Linked DNA regions of Drosophila melanogaster. The gene in region 2 interacts genetically with the main gene of each other region. Each region holds a gene or a part of one and is shown on either strand. Other genes may lie near its edges.

The links.
Region 1: of RhoGEF2 (region 2) and Rok, changing one suppresses a phenotype caused by changing the other (phenotypic suppression), as found in Drosophila melanogaster (one study listed by BioGRID).
Region 3: of RhoGEF2 (region 2) and fog, changing one suppresses a phenotype caused by changing the other (phenotypic suppression), as found in Drosophila melanogaster (one study listed by BioGRID).
Region 4: of RhoGEF2 (region 2) and plum, changing one suppresses a phenotype caused by changing the other (phenotypic suppression), as found in Drosophila melanogaster (one study listed by BioGRID).

The regions. Positions count from the first base shown.
Region 1 is NC_004354.4:16,634,077-16,639,214, reverse strand, and holds the start of Rok (Rho kinase), read left to right. Parts: upstream 1-1,800; 5' UTR 1,801-2,787; intron 2,788-2,853; 5' UTR 2,854-2,931; coding exon 2,932-2,993; intron 2,994-3,547; exon of another isoform or gene 3,548-3,640; coding exon of another isoform or gene 3,641-3,675; intron 3,676-5,138. Other genes in the region: RpS19a (ribosomal protein S19a), read right to left, coding at 410-809, 912-982.
Region 2 is NT_033778.4:17,025,269-17,030,258, forward strand, and holds the start of RhoGEF2 (Rho guanine nucleotide exchange factor 2), read left to right. Parts: upstream 1-1,921; 5' UTR 1,922-2,071; intron 2,072-3,404; 5' UTR 3,405-3,727; coding exon 3,728-3,753; intron 3,754-4,990. Other genes in the region: Dark (Death-associated APAF1-related killer), read left to right, coding at 1-23, 91-210, 266-412, 477-1,160.
Region 3 is NC_004354.4:22,852,143-22,857,311, reverse strand, and holds the start of fog (folded gastrulation), read left to right. Parts: upstream 1-2,117; 5' UTR 2,118-2,269; exon of another isoform or gene 2,270-3,505; intron 3,506-5,169. UniProt on the Drosophila melanogaster protein: Coordinates cell shape changes during formation of the ventral furrow and invagination of the posterior midgut primordium, by inducing apical constriction of cells in spatially and temporally defined manners.
Region 4 is NT_033777.3:26,532,052-26,537,062, reverse strand, and holds the start of plum (plum), read left to right. Parts: upstream 1-1,845; 5' UTR 1,846-2,339; intron 2,340-4,640; 5' UTR 4,641-4,838; coding exon 4,839-4,950; intron 4,951-5,011.

The DNA.
Region 1 (5,138 bases), on a different chromosome or scaffold from region 2:
TTGTTAATGAAACTATGCACCTTCTAAGGGCAGAATACCAAACTGATACTGATAGTTTAGCAATAGAAGGAAAGCCATTAACAATGTGAAGGCTCGGTAAAAGTATAAATTGGCTAGTTAATTACGCCAAATGTAGCTGTTGTCCACATTGTTCTTCGCACATGCATATTACTAATATGAGCAGCATCCTGATAAATCTACCACTTTTTTACATTGCCAAGAGGAGCTATTCTATTCCCCTGTTTACAGACCGCATAAAAAATGTTTCTAGCATTCGAAGAACGCATGTTTCGTAGACTTTTACAAATTGTGGTTGGTTTTATTTTCTCATCTCTCTCGTGCAAACAAAAAGCGCTTACAATAGAAGTCTAAAAATGCGTTTTTTAGAATTCGAAGGGGCGCCGTGTGATTACTTGGAAATAACAATGGGCCCGGTCTGCTTGGCGGCATCGCGCTGCTTGAACACGATCTGGTTAGCAATACGGTCCAGATCACGCTGTCCAATGGAGCTCAGTTTGCGACCACCGTCCGGGTGCTTCTCGACCAAACGGGCGTGCTCCAAGGCCTGCAGAGCCTTGCGGGCAGCACCGTCGGCGGCGCGGCAGAAGTGCGAGGGGTGGACACCGTTGCGCTTGCGTCCGCCGTAGATCTTGGTGATCGAACCGACTCCAGCGGGACTGCGGTGGTACAGATGGCGCAGGATCGAGGCGCAACGCACATAGAACCAGTCGGGATCGTAGGGCGCCAGCTCCTTGAATTTGGCGGTCTTGACGATGTCCATCTGGTCGGGCACCTTCAACTTGCCAGTCCTATTTGGTTTTTTTCGTGTTTTTTTTTTTTTTTTTGGGGGGGGATAAACAAATGGATTGTGAGGTTATGTGGTGGAAATATACTTGATGTTCAGTACTCACTTCTTCAAGAAGACGGCGACCGCCTTGGTAACCGCGTGCTGGTCAATATCCTTCACTGTGACGCCTGGCATCTGCGGGCAGAACGGGAAAAACAAATGGGGAATCTATTACAATGCTGCCAAAAACACGTTGTCGCGATTTCCACGATTCTCTCACAGACACACTCTTTCTCTCTCTCTCTCTCCCTCGCACACACACATGCACGGGCACAACAAAAAATTGCCAGCCGAAGTTTTAACCCGAAAAAAGCTGTCCTTTCGTGTTTACGGCCGGCCCATTGTGTCATTTGCCACTTGGCGTGGGCTCTTTCATTGAATTTCACCCATTCAAAACATAAAAAAAAAGATAATTCACTTGAAAAGAATTCGTGCACAACCTTTCTCGTTAAAGTCAACCGGAAAAAAGAACAAGGCGCGTGAAGTTGGCTGCGGTTAATAGTGCTGGGCCTGCCACCAGCAATAGTATCGATTAATCGAATGCCGGCGCGGCGAACTATCGAAGATTCGGTTAATGATACTCTAACACGTATGTGTTCAATTTATAGTTATTTTTAAAAATATTTAAATTAATGAGCACACCAAGATTATATTATATATTACTTGGCATTTGAAGACCTTGTCTAAACATGCATTTTCGTATTAGTATATTTTCAATGTGGGCAAAGAATGCGTAGTACAATTCATATTTTGCTGTATCACTTTATTCATAAATAACTGCTTTTTATTTTGTTAGCAACCGATTTACATAACTATTCATGAAGCTAGTTTCTGAGTCTATCGAATAACAAGCGGCCCATCGATGACGCAGACAACCGATATTGCCGCAGCACCATCGCCATTTGGAGCGCCACCTGTTGGCCCTGGTATATTCTGGTATTTTCATCGGCGCCTAGTGACTTCGATACTTCAACTTCGATATGTAAACACAATTGCCATCTCTACCAGCACCGAGCCGAAATAAAATAAGTGCAACGCGCAGCGTCTAATTGAAACCAAATTGATCTATTTGGCCGCGGCCGAAACTGGACATTCGCAATTTGGGCGGTCAGCCGCCCCCGTCCCGTCCCGCCCCCCCGTGCGTTTCCCCCGCTGCCGACGGACAGTACGTCGGTGTGACGCACATCGGTGTGTGCGCGCGTGTGTGTGTGTCTGTGAAGCGCCTTGTTATTGTTGTTGTAGCGCTTGCTACGTTCGCCGTTCGCAGTGCACTGGTGTGCGTGCGCTCGTGTAAGTGTGTGTGCACAGAGGTATCGTTGGAATTAACAAAAAAATAGAAGAAGGAAAAAGCTACTTGATTGGGGCACACAAAAACCAACAACTCAAAAGGCCGAGAAACAAAAGCCCACCTTCAACACCACCAATCCGCCGCATTCGACACATTTTGGCCAGGTTTTTGGCCACAAGTGTTGACACAACTGTTGCATGCCAAGCGGACTGCGGACAATAATCCCCGTTCCCTTGTTTACCCAACAATCCATCGTGGTCAACGTGATCATCCTGGTCATTACGATCCCATTTGCACAGGAAGTAAACTAGATTGATAGCATTTTCCGGGAATCGATAGCACACCTGCCTGCCGTGTGGGAAACGCACCTGGGAACGCCCGGGTGCTCGGCTGCGTCCGCATGTGGCGTTGGCGGCACTCCACCAAAAGAAGCCAGCGCCAAGTGCCCAATCCCCATACCCATACCCATTCCCATTCCCATCCCCATCCGTATTCGATTGGCGTTCAGTGGCAGCAGTTAGCCAGAAATCCAACGAAACACTCGTGACCTCATCGCCAGCAAACAGCAAACAACTAGCGCTTGACGCGTGCCTCCTCTCCTCATTACTATTAGCATTCCCAGCATAGACAGACGTCCAACAACTCCTGGCAGGTAAATGTACAATATAAATATGTGTACCCCGAAGAGAACTCTGTTAAACCCTTGCTTCGCTTTCAGTTGCAGCACAGGAGCAGCAGTTGACCAACAGGAAGCAGCAGCTGGAGCAGCAGTATCAGCTTGTTATCTTGCATTTGCATGCCAGCTGGACGAGAAACTGTGACCAAGCAGCGCAGCATGGATGTGGAACGAAGGCGCCGGTGAGTGCACGAGATGGCGGCCCAAAAGCGACTGCTCCACTCAATTAATTGTCACCTGAATGGCAGCATCAGCAGCAGCAGCAGCAGCAATAGCAATAGTAGAAGTCGAAGTAGAAGTAGAAGTGGCAGTAGCCATCGCACAGATACGTGCGATTTGTACAGACAGATTTGTGATTTGTTCAACTGACCAAGCCAAGCAGGCAGCTAAGCAGCTAACCAGCTAACCACCTAACCAGCCAACTAGCCAGCTAGCACAATTCAGCGCAAGCCAAACGGGCCTGGCCAAAACAAATCAAAAAGTAATACACCGCTGGCAAACACCTTCCATATCTCATGTTCAAAGCGACAGCGCGGCAATCAAATTGACAAGCGAGTGAACAAAACGGGGGGCGACTTTATAATAAATTTGCCATTTTCGCATTAAAATTTGTAACCAAACCAAAAAGAAAAAAAACCAAAACGAAAACGAAAAGCGAACTAAAACGAACGCACAGTGGCTGATGCCGCCGTTTGTCAGTTGCAGGCGTCGCGTTGCATCGGCTGCATCGTTTGCATCGTTTTGGGCCAAAAAGGTAGAATAGATAGCCAGCACCACGCCGGTTTCTTCCATTGGACAGTAGACGGTATAGGGCATGGGGACATGGCTAATGCCCGCCGCCCTCCATTCGTGCGAGCCGGAACGGTACGTTGTTCTCATCTCCACGCTCCTAGCATTCAGCATTCAGCATCCAGCTCTCAGCTACCAGTTGTCGTCCTGGTTCGCTTGCATTCCAAATTCCGAGAATACAATTTGCCCAGCAATTCCGCAGCGTCGAGTATGCATATAAATACTTAAATTTAATTACCCATCCCCACTCGGTATCTGCTGTAAGCAGTCATAAGCGAAGCAAACGTTAAGGCATTTGCGTACTAACAATGGCCAATTGCAATGCGCATTTGGTTATAAAAGCCGAACAGTTCCTTTGTGCTGCCTGGGCAAATAATTAATTAGAATTAATAAGGTGTGAAGAGATTCTGCAACGCAGATGCAGTACCACTCTCTATCTCTGTGTGTTGAATGTGAAGCGTTCAATTTGTAAAAACTGGCAGATCGAATTTGGCGACGTTGTATAAATTAAGTTGAAAATTATATTGTCTATAGGTGACGATAATGTTGTCGTCGTCGTCGTCATCGTCGTCGTTGGTTATTATGTATTATTATTGCCGTTGTTGTTGTCAATAATGTTGCTCATAATTATGTTGTTGTTGCCATTTTGCCGCTTTGGCCAAATCGAAATCAACAGCGGCAACGAAAATTCATCGCAGCATTTTTGAAAATTCCACTTTCCCAAGTTGTTTGCTTTTGTGTATGGTGTGTGTGTGTGCTGCTATTACCCGCTGCTTGAGCGTTTTGTTTTTGGCTTTTCTGTCATGCCGTAAGTGGCGATGATGAAATCACAACAATTCAAACACCTTTTAGTATCAATTTTTAGCGCCGACTGTCATCGCAGTTTGCCTGCTCCTGCATCTGAGTCTGACTTTTGCTTGCTGGGCACCGAAATTCGATTCCCAATCGCTGACAGACTGACTCCGCATCTCCGACATCTTGCATCTTGCTAATTGCACATAAATCTTGGTTACGGGAATTAGTTTTTGACCGGAAAATGCCTTTAAATTTAGAAATTCAGAACCAACGCACTGGCAGGCCAAATTTAATTGTTTCATTCTTTGCCGAATATGTAGTTTAATTTGCCGAGAAATTCCATTTGAAAGAGCGCTTTTCCCATGCTCTAGTAACCTCGTATGCAAATACCTAATTGTTATAATTAATTTTCTATATATTTACATTCGCAAGATTTTATTTTCCATGATTTATGTACATACATACACTCTCCGAAGAATGAACCTTACCTTTTTGTTTACATTCAAAAGTAAATAAGCAATTTGTATATTCTTAATATCATTTATAAAGAATGAAACGCTTGGTGAATCAGAGCAGTGTTTTTGTTTTTTGAGATTTTAAAATCCGCACTTACTGATAAAATAATATAGCGTACTATGCTTTTTACTATACTATAGTTACGTAAATATTTGATTCATGAAAATGCATAAATTAACCGGCTCCCCTGATAAATATGTTTGTATAAATGAAAGTCATTGTGCCTG
Region 2 (4,990 bases):
TGTTTTCCGACCACGGAGTCTGTGTGAGTGTTCTTAATTGAAGTTTATGCGAGTAAAAGTGCAGTATTTGATTTCAATATTTACCAACAGCATCTGGATATAGCTAACCCATCTGCATTCGTGAAACCAAAGGATTCGGAGGAATACATTGTCGGCTTTGATCTAAAGAACAGTCTTCTCTTTCTGGCCTACGAAAACAACATCATCGATGTGGGTTTGCTAAACATAATATCATTAAACAATTATCAATTATTTCCAACGACAGGTATTCCGTTTAATATTCAGCTGTAACCAACTAAGGTACGAACAGATTTGCGAAGAAGAGATCGCCCAGAAGGCCAAGATCAGCTATTTGGTAGCCACGGATGATGGTACCATGTTGGCTATGGGTTTCGAAAATGGCACTTTAGAGGTATACATACGTCTTACAAATTCGTTTCATAATTATTTCCTGCTAATTATACATTTCCCAACAGCTCTTTGCCGTTGAAAACAGAAAAGTTCAACTGATCTACAGCATTGAAGAGGTCCACGAGCACTGCATCCGGCAATTGCTATTCTCGCCATGTAAGTTGCTCCTGATCAGCTGCGCGGAGCAGCTGTGCTTCTGGAATGTGACGCACATGCGCAACAATCAATTGGAGCGCGAGCAAAAACGGCGGCGCAGTCGACGCCATAAGCAGCACAGTGTTACACAAGAGGATGCTGTGGATGCGGCGCCCATTGCAGCGGACATCGATGTAGATGTGACATTCGTTGCCGACGAGTTTCATCCGGTGAACCGAGGGACTGCGGAACTGTGGCGGAATAAGCGCGGCAATGCCATCCGTCCGGAACTCCTGGCCTGCGTTAAATTTGTGGGAAATGAAGCTCGTCAGTTCTTCACAGACGCCCACTTCTCCCACTTTTATGCCATAGATGACGAGGGTGTCTACTACCATCTGCAGTTGCTGGAGTTAAGCAGACTTCAACCTCCACCTGACCCAGTTACGTTGGATATTGCCAATCAGTATGAAGACTTAAAAAATCTTCGAATTCTCGACAGCCCACTTATGCAGGATTCGGATAGCGAGGGTGCTGATGTAGTTGGCAACCTGGTTCTGGAGAAGAACGGCGGAGTGGCGAGGGCGACACCAATTCTGGAGGAGGCCAGTTCATGACGCCAGAAGTGCGTCCCTAGGCGGCGCACGAAACAGGAAAGTCCAAACTACAACATGGCATTTATAGGATTACTGCTCTACTACCTGATGGTTTTGCTCTTCTACCTCCTGGGTCCGGATTTGTCCTAGGCAAACATTAGTTGTTGGCGCTTACATTTGCGAATGTATGCAGCTAACCAAGTATGATATCTCAGAGGGCGGTGGGTGCGTTGCCCTGCCTTTGTTTGTCAACGCGAGTAACCGCCACCAAATAAACGACATTTCACGAAAAACACAGAACGCGGTTTTGTTGTCTGCTCTTTGTGCTGTCCGTATGTATGTATGCATGCATGTCTGTGTGGGTGGTTGTGCTGTGCGTTTGTTTTGATTTCTGCCAGGCACGCCAGATCAAGTGTTGCAAAAGCATTGGTCCCGGGACAGTGCTGCTAAGTTCGTGTATGGATATCAGTGTTGCGGTCCAATAAATAGGTACGTATCTGGATTGTGGCTCGTCTACTTCTAAGCTGACTTAAATTAATAAAAAGGCTTTGGCCTCAATGTTTGCATTTTGGTTTTATTAAAAAGTTCAAGTCAAGTTTGGGCTATAATTTTTATAAGCTAAGATTTACACACATTGCCTTAATGAACACACGTACGAAATATATTAAGAAGCATTTAAAACAATGAATAAAAACCAATAGCTAACTTGTATCATCGGCAAGGTACCTTGTTTGTACCAGTTTTAGGTACTGAATTCCGTACCGAACTAAAGCCCTTTTCAACACTGGCAGATATGCGCTCTTTCTCGTCATTTCATTCCAATTTTCAAGCTGAAAAGAAAAGAACGTCGTGTGCGTGTTGATGGCGCGATAAGTGAAAAAAATAAAAACATTTTTCGTGTCTTTATGGAATACAATACGAGTGCGTTTTAAGTAAGTGCGTGGCGAAAGTGGCGAAGCAGAGAAAGAATGATGCGCAACTCGCTACGCGTGAGCTCACTGCAGCAACAAAAGCAATAAATAAAAAAAGTGACTACATGCATTCCGCGCACCCACACACTGGCGTAAAATTCATACATATTTAAGTGCATTTGTGCACGCTCGTCAATGGCAAAATCGCGAGCTTGCAACTGCCAGGAAATATTGTACGCAAATTTGTCTAAAAATGATCTCTAACCCATCGCACGCAGACAGACGCAGCGCGCTTATAGGGGCATCGAATGTATGACGGCATATGTGTATTTATTTTCCACACTCGCCCATCGGTGGCAGTGAGTGTTAGTGAGCGACGCGCGTGTGTGAGTGCGTCGAGTGCTGAACTCTTGAACTGCAGTACATGGCTTTAATTCGATTTTAGGGATGTGCGGCTTGACGGAGCGGGAAGCGATCGAATTAATGAGTAAATGATAAACAACTGGACGCTTTCCGAGGCTTCGAATCCCTTGTTTTTCTCTAACAAGTGGCTTGCGGCAGCCATATTGTTTTGCCTTTGCGTTTGCGGCGATGATCGCACTCGCACCCCCACACACACTCAGTCAGTCAGTCAGTCCAGTTTGTGTGTATACATATTTATTCAATTAAATATTTGCGTTTAATTAAAAAGGAGTGAAACTGCAAGAATTGATTTATTTAGGTAAACAAACAGTGAGATCAGTGCAAATTCAAAGAAAGAGAGGGAGTCTTTGTTTTTCTTTTTGGGTTTTCGTCACGCTAATTGAACACAAGCGATTAATTGAACAATCAGCTGTTCTAATGGAAAATACGCAAATCTGGAAAGGATCGCTGGAATTTTCCTGCTTGTGTGTCCGCTCTGACCCATTAGTATAGCATTAGTATTTCAATTTTTCGGCCAAAAACTTGTTTTCCCCCAACCCCAAGTCGTCATCCATTAAATGTTTCGTGAAAACTAGTCAGCAAAAAGCACAACAATAAAACCAGCAACAACTGCTGCCTGCGAGTGACAGAGAAAGCAAGAGATTACGAGAGAGAGTGAGAGAGAACGAGCGCGGCGAGAGAGCCATAGGCATTGGAATATGTATGGCTTGCGCGTGAGTGTGTGGGTGTGCTGTTCAGTTATCTGTGTTGGAATAAAAACAATGAAATTGCAAGGAGATTGCTGCCTGCATTTGAACCCTCTCCGATCCGCCCCATCCCCCATAACCCTTCACCACCCACTCAAAAAAAAAAAAAAAAAATGCAAACAAATATTTTAATGTACATGCATTAATGCCCGAAATGTCTTCAAACGAATTTTGTGTGCCCACAGGTTTAAGTGAAAAGTAGCAGTGCAAAATATATATACACATATCAAAACCCATTGGAATAGTGCAACCAAAAAATCATAAAACAGAACTAAAGCAACGAAAATCGAGGCAATTAAATCACTTCTGGATTCATTTCGGCCCGTTTTTACTAGCTAATTTAAAAATAGCTGCCGAAAGCATTCCGCAACCACTTCTGGTGACTGGCCCCACACCAATGCGAACAATACTCCACGGGATCCTCCGACTTCGAGTGGCTTACGCATGCCTTTGAATTTGCATCTTCGCACCCGCACAGCAGCCAGCAAAAGCCATCGCAGGAAACCCTATGGATGACCCATCAATCAAAAAACGGTGAGTTCAACTGCTCCACTGTCTCCATGCGCTACAATTTCCCCACTTTCCACTTTCCCACTGGTTAAATTGCTCGCATTGCGATAAGAATTTATCTTTTGTCCTCGACAGACTTAATAATTGTTATTTTCGTTCTTATTCGCAAGCAACAGTCGATTATACACATACTAATAAATATACCAAATATACATCATAGAGGCAGGTTTAATGCAAATTTCAAAGGCAGTGTCAACTGGTTGTGGGAATTGAATAATTTTAATGAAATCTCGAAGAAGAAGAAGATATTAGTCACACAAAAAGTTAAAGCTCTTATTATATCAAATCGGAAGAATTTTTACTCATAAAAGAAGCTTTCACACATTCTTGACCTAAGTGCTTATATTAACATATTAGGGCTACCCTTAAGAACTAGCAACTTATGTAAGATCGTTGCCTAAATAGTGTAGCAGCCTTTAAGAATCCTCGAAATTATATTAAAATAATAGGTATTTTACTACATTTTAAATAGTTCTTAAGCCAGTTACAGATGATTTAACTGTGCATTAGATCACCGATCAACTTTTGTAAGCAATTACTAATTCATTTGACCCGTGATTAGTCAGCAAACGTTGTTTGAAAATAGCCAATTGACGAGGTGAAACTTTGCGCCGTCTCACAGTTCTGAAACGCACTGTGTTTGCTGATTGTTTATACCAATAGTTCCCCCAAGCTTGGGGTTGTTTTTGTGCGGTTTCGACTGCCAAACGGATGACTTAATACATATATACGCTCACCAACTTAGGGAGCGGCCAGTTTTCACATTTTACCATTTATTTCTTTTATTGCCACCTAGGGAAGTTTTAGCCCAAATAGATTGGCGAAACCAGTGACTTTCTAAGCATGCTTGTGTGTGCATTTGGTGGTGGTGTCTTAACCACGAATTGTATAATATACCTATGCAAAATGATTTAAATCTATTAACAGCTCACCACCACTGGTGTTGTCGTCTGATTTGTGGGCCTTAACAGGTTTTATGCCAGCCCGTCAACGGGCTGCAGCAAGATTTCCTCAAAATTAGGCAGCTAAATTTAGACAGAAAGAGAATTCACTTGGATCAAACGGAGAGACATGCTATTGACATGGGCCAATCAGTCAAAAAAGTTAATGTAAACATTTGATTTTTGGAGGTCTTGCCTGCCCGCCCGGCTGTTATGGAAATAACTCATCATAATGATGAATTCACCAGGCGGGAAATGAG
Region 3 (5,169 bases), on a different chromosome or scaffold from region 2:
GCATAGTGGGGAGGGGACATAATACGCTGGACGGGAAAAATGTAGAAAGAAATTAATTTTCATTGAAAATTCAAATGCCACTCGAAAAGGTCAGCGAAAGGGGGTGGGGTCTGAAAAAGGAAGGGAAGAAGCAGCAGCGAAGGCAAACAATCGAGAGAAAACGAAATTTTTTAATTGATTTCACTTAAATCACTTTTGCTTCACAACAACGCAGCATCTGCGCAAGAAGAAGGAAAAGTACGAAAACACATTTCGGTATTTTTTCTTATTTGTTTAACTTTTGTTTCTTCGATTTTTAGTTTTTGGGCGAATGACCGAAGACGAGCCCCGCACACTTGACCATCGCATCGATAAGTCCATACGAAGGGAAGACGGCGAAGAATGAGAGAATAGGGAAATGGGGATGATCCCAATTCGTACACTTGGCAAAATACCCTTAGTTTAGTTGTGGTCATTTTTAGTTCCCTAAGCTAACTCTGTAAATTTATTTTTTAAAGTAATGATCTATATCATCTACATAAAATTGCTTTTATTCATGAATTTTAGCCGGAATCACTGCATAAAAAATAAAGGGAATTCACCTTAATCAAATCGAAATTGAAACGCTGTAAACGACAAAGTGGCCTTAATTGGCCATTATGTTGGCCTAAACACCGGCACAGGCTCAAGTGGCGGCTAAAATTACCAAGAAGTGCGATTTGCGATTCAGTGCCCAATGATGATGACGGGGAACAAAACCATGACTGCTATCAACTTCAATTAGGTTTCGAGGAAATCCATCTCCGACTTTCCAGCTTTTCCGAGATATTTTTATTAAGCCGGCCACTCCAGTTAGCCTTACATATTTCCGAATGTTAGTAGTGTCTGTAGGGGTCTACCGAACTCGGACAAAATTGAAAATAAAAATTTTATTTAATAAGGTACATACATACATACATAGTACATATGTAAATAGAAACAAACAGCCAACGGAAAATTACCAGGAAGAGCCGTACTGCCTTTTTAAATTGAACAACTAGCAGCATTCAGAAAAAATTAAAAGCAGAGAACATCATTAATCATCCTTTGCAGGCGGCCAAAAGAGAGCATCTCCCTAATTGAGAACAAGAGAACATAACAGAAGAAAATGTTAATCATGTATGGGAAAAACAAAAAAGAAAAGAGAATTGTCGAGAAGAGTAAAAGGGTATACTAGATTCGTTAAAAAGAATGTAACAGGGAGAAGGAAGCGTTTTCAACCATATATGTATATGTATATGTACATGTACTTGTATATGTACATGTGTATATATGTATCGTGATCAGGATCAATCAGGACCAGTCGAACTGGTCATGTCCGTCTGTCTGTCCGTCCGTATGAACGTCGAGATATCAGAAAATATAAAAGCTAGATTCTAGAGACATTAGACGCAGCGAAAGTTTGTTCCCCATGATGCCACGCCCACAAACCTCCCAAAACTGCCACGCTCACACCTTTGCATAATGTTTTGATAGTTTTCCATATTTCTATGACTCTTGTTAATTTTTATCGATATGATAAAAATTCCCACTCTAATGCACCAAAACTGACACTCCCACACTTTTGAGAAATGATTTAATTTTTTTGTATTAAACCAGTTGTTTTTCCAATTTATAGATATGCCGAAGATATGCTATCTTAAACCGCCCAATATATCCTGCCCAGACCTTAGAGAATTAAAATTAATTTTTTCCCACCAATTTCTACTAATGTTCGTGAAAAATGTTGAAAAGTCTCGTCCCACTTGGACTTGCTGAATAACGGGTATCTGATAGTCGGGGAACTCGACTATAGCGTTCTCTCTTGTTTTAAATTAATGACATACATACTCAAAACAATGCACGATCAAAACAGCAAAATGATTTCTTTGTGCAGTTGCAACTTAAGAGCAATGAAAACTGAGCGCGGCTTCAGCGCGCTCTTTGAAAAGAGTTCCCTAATGCCGCGCATCGGCTCTTTTCTCTCGGCTAAGATCATTGTCGAACGCGCGTACATATACATATATACAGTACATGTATATTTATATCTGACCACTCTCTGTCTGTCGCAGCGACTGCGGCGCCGACGTCGACGCCTGCGACGACACGTTTCGAAGCCGCTTCTCATTCAAAAAACAACTGTGAACGTGATCGGTAACGGTGCGTGTTCTCTTGTCCGCCCGCTACAGTCTCTTCAAAAAAAAAAACTTAAAAGAAATGAGGGGGGAAGAAAGCGGATAAAAATCACCAACAATAGTAGCAAATGAAAAAAGTAAAGTAACACTATCATTTCGATTGAATTTGTAACATAAATTCGATATTTAAGAGACATGTGCAATCGGTCAAAACGTGGCGCATATAACTTAAAAGCAAATAGTAACATGGGAATATAAATTTGTAATATACATAAATATCTTCTGATTGTGTCCCTTAAAAACGTTTCTTCGTGTGCTTTTATTTTATCTAAATTTGACCCGATTTTAATTTGAATTTGAACAAGAACCTAAACTAAAACAAAACAAAAAAACATTCGAATGCTTATCTGTAAAAGGAAACAGGAAAGAGAGAACGAACGAAGTGAAAATAAAGTAGAATAAAATAAAATACATACTACGAGGCATGTATAAATATACTACGCTTTTGTGTTTATACTACATTGTGAAACAGTTGTCGTTGTACTTGTTGTTGTCTTTACAGCAACAGGCGTCCGATAATTTATAATCTTAAAAATATATGTGCGCCGTACATATAGATTCGCCTACTGAAAAACCCGAGATCAACTTTAAAATACTAGTACCAACCATAATTTGAAGCTTAGCTTTGAGTTATAAATATTTAGTTAACGTTATTTCACAATGATATATATTAAATATCTACAATATTTCACAATCTTAAGCTATTTTCGGTGCACATGTAGGCATTATTTTTGAATTGCACTCAATGTTGCATACAAAATAATTCTCTTTCGTTTTTCCCAAACAGGATGTTACCATTGATACCTTTTGAAGTCGATTTGTTGTAGTGTGTTTTTTTTTCGTGTGCGCAAAAGTCTTTGTGAATTATATGATAATACATGTGATACAGTTGGAGAAATAAAATAGATAAATCAACAAAATCGAATACAAAACCGTGTTGTCCTAATGAGCCTAACAACTGCAGCGAAAAATGAAAGGCAGCCAGCGACGGGAAAACTTTAAGCAACTGAAAAAAATTTAGTATCTTACAAGTTTGAACTGGCTCTTACCAGCAAGCCAATCAACACATACATATAAAATTCTTAATAAACCAAACAAAAAATTAAGCTCAACCGCCATCAAATCGAAATTCAAAACGAGCCAATTTGTGGTGTTTATTATTTATTTGTATGCTAATTTATTTTTACAACAACTTGATATTAACCCACAATCAAAGAAAAACAAAAGTGGGGAAAAGACAAAGAAGAAGCAACTAAAAGCAAAAGCAGCGCACCTTCTTCGGCATCTTTGTTTTGGGATATAAAACAGCAAAAGTAAGTGGATTGTATGTATTTTTATTTAACGTTTATGTGTGTTTTATAATGCCCATCGAATAACCCATTATTACTTTGCGCTGCGAAACTTGTTTCTTAATGCAAATTAAATTGAAAGGAAGCCAGCGAAATGTATACAGCCCAGAAAATTTGGATAACAGATTCGAAACCCACAGTATCTCGTTTCTGGTACTCCTTATTATCCTGCTTCATTATTTCCTGGGTATCAGGATGTCTCGTTTTCGTGGGCTTATCCTAGCGGTTTTTCCGGTCTCACGCCCGATGCTGACCTTCTGACTCTGCGGATGTGGGAAATCTAGCCATTCTGCAGATACAGAGCTGGCTCTTGAGATCTTAAATGACCAAATCGGGAGGTATTTAGTCTAATGCTTTTCGAAGTAGCTATTACGCGTCCAAATGGATTCAGCATGAATATGTTTGGGCTCATGCCATTGACTGACGAGTAGGTATAGTTTCCCTAAAAGCGAACTGATAAATATTAAAAGCATTTTTAATCACTTCTTGAACAACAATAGACACGTGCACATTTCTCAATCTGGTCAAGCGCCTTACTAGTTATTGCAAAAACCAATTTCACGACGTGACCACAATGGATGACAACTGACCTTAGTGTCATCATGCAACCAAAACAATCGAACTACACCAATTCGAGGCGCATTAGGTGTCTTATCGGGGTTCGCTCTCAAACATTTGCCAAACAAGTGAGTTCACGATTATGTTTACAGAGGTGAGTTCCATGAGTTCGCTGGTAATGGACATGATGATGATAATGCCGATGAAGTCACGCGGTGACTATCAGCGCCAATGTGGCAAAGTGATCACTTCCGCTGGACGCAAAATATATTGCGGCTTAAAATGGAAAACTAAAAGCAAACCATGAACGAATTTCGGTACCAAAATTTTATTCCCGCATGAAAGTGTAACCAAGTTAATTGCATTTAACCGACTGTCCAAAAAATAAAGAGCTGGAAGGGTGGCCAAGCACTCAAGTGACTGGGAAATTGTTGACATGCACACTGAGAAAAATGGCCATATTTATGTGTGTATTTAGTAAATTTTTCCGTGGACTCGTTCTTTTATTTGTTTTTGCGCAGACATGAATTACAAAATGTTTTTTGTGCAAGTTCCAAAACGCCCGCAAAATGCTCCAAAAGTCATTATCAGCAATAGAAAGTGTTACAGACGGCACGAAAATTAAATTACGGGTATTGTGATGGTACGTATACATACATATGTATGAATACTATATAGATAGAGTTCGCTTCGATTGCCTCGACTATCAGATAGCCGTCACTCAGCCATAACTCCTAAAATAATTATCCGATTCAAATTATCTATACAGCTATTGTCTTCCGGACATACATATATTTATGCCTATGTTGATACCCCCCCGGGAACGTGGAATGAAATCAGCAACCGAAAAAAAAAACGAATCTATCACGAAATTATTTTCGAGGCTCTTGAGTCCCTTGTGCCCATGGCTATGCAGCCGTGGTAAAATTGATTCAGCTGCATCGGGGCAAACAGCATTAAACGGTCGATCCATAGGGCAGTACGTGCCTGAGGGCCCAAAAGCCGAAAACCAAAAACCGATGGCAATATACGACCTCCACTTACACGAAAAACTTGGGGATTATTTGTTC
Region 4 (5,011 bases), on a different chromosome or scaffold from region 2:
CCATAAAACGCATTGCATCACGTAGTTAGTTAAAAGAAACAAGAAACGCAACGCAACGCATCGCATTTGTTGCTTCCTCTCCACAGCGAAGCTGCGTGGAATGGTGGAATAGTGAAAAACTTCAGCGGAAAATTAACATTAATGCGACACACCCAAACGGACACACGCACACAGGGAAAGCCCGAAAGCCGGGAATCCAAATAGCTATTTCGTTACGTTACGTTTCTCTCGTTTTTGTGCCACTGTGCAGCGGCGTATGTTTTGGAATTTACACACACACGCACACGCAGGACAAGCGCACACACACGGACGAACGCACACATATACGCGCAGGCTGCGCAACAACAAAATGCTAGTCTAAGGCGGCGAGGAATCAGCGAAAAAGTGAAAGAGAAGGCGCTAGCTGGCGTTCTCCCTGCGTTTTTCGCACGCTTTGACGCGTTATTTGCACGAGTATTTACTGTAGTTACAGGGGCCACACAGAACAACGAAAATCGCAGCGAGCAGCACGTCTAAATTACGAACACGTACACGCACGCACACACACACACTCGCACGCACTCATGCAGTTAAAAAACAGGCGGTTTTTTCGCTTCCACACTCAAAAGCGGTCGAAAATCACGAGCGTTGGGTGAAAATCAACCGTTGTTTTCATCCGCGTTTACAATTTTTTCTCGTCGTCCGCCCGCGCGCAACAACAACTCTTTGCAGTATGACGCTCTGGAAAAACCAAGAAAAAGGTGACACTCCTCTTCCATCAACGAAGTATCTTCGCATACGTTCACACTTTGGAGAAATTTTGTGAATCGCCGTCTGGTCACACTACTAGCAACTGCGCAACTCACCTTTAGTAAAGACAACAACCATTCGTTTTATTTGCCATCTCTATTTCCGATTTTTAATCGGCGCCTTCCTATTTGAGATGAAGTTTAAGTTAATATTTTAAATTAAGATTAAAAGATAATGAATATTTTCATTAATTACGTTAAAAAAGGAAAATAACTTGAATACTGTAAAGTACTTGGTGTTCGGTAAGTAATTATAATATAATATAACACAAGATAATAATATAATATGTAATATTTTTCTAGTGCAAAATAAAAGTTACGTTTGTCTGTAATAAATTTAAATCTTAGTACTAGATTCAACAAACTGCATTTTTTTTGTGTCTCTTTTTTGCTTTACTCGCATTCCGTTTTGTTTGTTTTTCGCTGCTCGAAAAGCTTACGCTGCCGACTGCGACGTCGACATTGAAATTTTGGCGTCGCAAACAAAAACAAAAGTTGCCGGCTCTCTTCAAAGCTCAAATTGAGCAAGATAAAAGAGTGTACAAATTCTCTTAAGTTGCTGCTCTCTTACAACCGCTTAATGTTAAGCAATGTTAACCGATTTAAACCCAAAGGTTTTGTTCTTTGTATCTTGATGTTAAAAAGAGCTGAAATTGTTTAACATTTTTTTTTGTCATAGGAATGTGTATTTGATATTCCTTCATGTCTATTTGGTGTTTAAGAAGATATTGAGCATTATTTTTAGTGCTAAGTTTAAGTGAAGCCTAAATGATTAAAGCTGTGGAGTTCGATTTTTGCAATGCAAGACAACATCGTAAAGAAGAAGTAGAAGCTGGTAGTTTTTATCTTTTACGTTTTAAAACAGATGCGAATTTTCCATCTGATCGCAATCGTATTACATTCAAATCGGCGCCTTTCCCGAATCGGTTAACATAGCGCCGAGGAGAAAGAGAAATTGGGGGAGTATCACTATCGCTTTCTCGTTCTTTCGCCGAACGGGCTGCTTGTCGCCGCCGTTCCATTCATAAGCATAAGTTAAGCAGTGCGCCAAAGCTCGGCGAACAGTTTGGACGTGTTTGCTGCGTCGCTCTGTGTAATTGCGGGCGGATTTCTCTAGTAAATTTTTGCCGGCGCTTGTAAATTCGCGATATTTTCGACGACGCTGCGTGCTTGTGTGTGTTTCAAACAACAAACAAAAGTTAAACAAGCTGGGCAACAACAGTAATTGCAGCTATGTGTGCGTCTGTGTTTGCGTGTGTTTGAGTGCGTGAGTGCGAGCGAAACACAAACGTAAAGCGGAAATGCAAAAAAGACAACAAAGGTAGCAGAAAAGTAAAAAGTAAAAAGTAAAAGAGAGGAGCCGGTGCAGCCAGAAAGAGCAAGACAGCACGAGTGGGGGCTAATGAAAACGAAATGTGATTCATTGGCTTTATCAATTGTGCAAAATTCCGGCATTGTTTAGTCCTGGGCGACAAATAAATTATGACATAATACAACAAAGGGCGAAATAACAAGAAACTGGAGACGCAGCAAAGCACAAAAAAGCGTAAAGTGCGTGTATGTGTGCGAGTGGGAGTGCGTGTACGTTTGTGTGTGTGCGTGTGGGTGGCATCAGTATTTGAAAATTGAGAAATTCCAAACAAACAAAGCGGCAAAAAGGATATACGAATGTATGTAGCAAAGGAAAAACTCCAAGTACAGTAGTTGCTGCTGCTTCTTGTTCACGCAAAAGGCAAAAACGCAAAAAAGCAAAAAAACCCAAAGGCAAAATACCCGAAAAAGCAAAGGCAAAGCAGCAAGAGCGTAGCAAAAACAAAAAACAAGGAGCAAAACGGCGGCATCTCAAAAGCTTAGTAAGCTGCGCTGCTGCTGCCGCCGCTGCTGTTGCTTCTTCTTCACTGTTTTCTTCTCCTTATTTTTTATTTTTGCAAACAAAAAAGTATATGATGCCCAAACAAGAAGCGCAAGAAGAAGCAGCAGTCGGGAGAGGAACGAGCATAATAGAAGGTAGAAATTTCGAGGAAATCGAAATTTGCGTCGTTGCTGAAATTCGTTTGTTTCCTCATCTTCCTCCCCTTCGTCCTCTTCATCCGCTCTTTCGCTCTCTGTTTTCCTGAGCGCCGGATTTTGCGGCTCTTTGTGTGTGTGTGTCGTGTATCTGTGTGTTTTTGTGCAAAAATTCGCGTACAATTTGTTTTATATAACAACAACTACCCCAATGTGATTTCCTTTGCTCAGCCGGCTTTTTGCTCATCTTCCAGTTTTGGGTTTTATCTTAAACCAAAACCGAATATTATACAATATATTTCGAAAAAGATGTAAACGAGACAAAGTTTTATATCGCAGGGCTGTAAACAAATGAACGCCACAATGCACAGAAGAAATAAGCTAGTATTTCCAATATTTTTTCAACCAGAAGCATTTTTTATTTTATTCGTTTAATTTGCTTGCTTGGTTAATAAAACAAACGAATTTTTAATAAAATTCAATTAGAAATCTAAATGCTATTACAAATTTAAACGCAATCCAATTACTTTCTGTGTATTCAAAACAAAAAACCGTAGCTCAAATTCGCACAAGCGTTTTTTTTCATTTTTCTTTTGATTTATCGAATTGTTTTTTTTCAATTGTCGTACGGATAAAAGTTTGTCTGCGATGTGCGTTACTTTTTGCAAAGCCTTTCATAGTTCGAACAGCAAAGGCATCAACAATATAATAGTAAGCCAGAAATATATTTTAGCATTCATATATGCGATTTTTTGCTTTTTGCGAGCTTTGGTTTGCCGCGCAATTTTGCGCTCTTGAGATAGAAATGTATCTTGCAGATACACGCGCCTTTTGTCGAATTGAAATTGAAATGGGCTCCGCCGCCTTTTATGTGGCATCATCACCGCCATCATCATCATTATTATTATTATTATGACTACTATCATTATTATGGAGATGCGTGCGTAATGGCAGATGAAGAATCTGAGCCGTAGAATCTGCGAATTTATCGCAGCTTAAATCCGAGCACACACAAAAAGCCAGTACAAATTTAGGGCCGATAAAAGGATGTCAGAGGAAGTAAAAAGAAAGGATAGAGGGGAAAAACGCAGGATGAAGGATACCTTTGTTAATGCTGATATTATTATGCTAACTGATAGCAGCAGAAATATCTATGTTAAAAAAGGTAATTTTCAATGCAATTCTATACTCATTGCTAAGAACTTATAGTTCTTGGTGTAATAACAGAATATAATATCTAACTGGCGAACAAAAAAAGTTTAGAACGGAAATAATTGCAGTTCGTAAAACAATAGAAACCAAGGGGAAAAAACTTCGGTTGGCTTTTGGAAAAACTTTCTCAAAACTTTATGCTTTAAAAGTGTAATCAAGTAAATCAGTAATATTAATAATAACTTGAAACTTTTAGTTTCTCATACAGAGCTTCTTTTAATTTGATAAAAAAGCGACGCGAACAAAAGATGAACAAGAAATGAAAATTTGTTAATTTTGAATATGGCTTTTTCCAATCTTGGTATGTATTTTCACTGTCCCTTGGGATTGTTTTCCACCCCAAGCCACGGGTTAATGCCCCACCACCTCATCAATTTTCCGATTTGAGCGGTGACAAACTGATGACATTGGCGCCGGGCCATCGTGTTGGCGGCATGTTTGTGCGGACTATTTAACAAATTGAGTATACGCACTGTTGCACGCGTAAAATATTTATGCCTGTGCCCAAATGTATTAGCATACTTTTGTGTGCGTGGGCGTGTGTGTGTGTTTGTGTGCATGGGTGTGTGCATTAGATTAGTGAATAAAATTCGGTGATTTGATTTCTCCCCCGATTTTCATTTATTTCCGAAGCCAAACATCGCGGTGAACAGAGAAATGAGAAAATGCTCTTGCTAATCGTATTGACTGGAAGAGCGTGAAGAGCTCGCTAACGTTCCAATAATCGCAAAAAGATAAAAAAAAATCTATATAGTTATAATTACAATCGCGGTTGGGCCTAAAAAAGGAGCCCCAGCCGGAAAGCGGTGACAACAAAAAAGTCGGATTGCAATGTGTTTGTTTTACAATCGTCGCCTCTTTGTGATTCAATTGATTGAGATCCTACTGCTGCTGCTAACCGACCACAATGGACGACTGACACTAACCAAGGAGTCGACAACAGGTGAGTGCGGTTACCTTTGCCATATTTCACACTCTAAATTCGCAGTTGTGATGCCAACTCG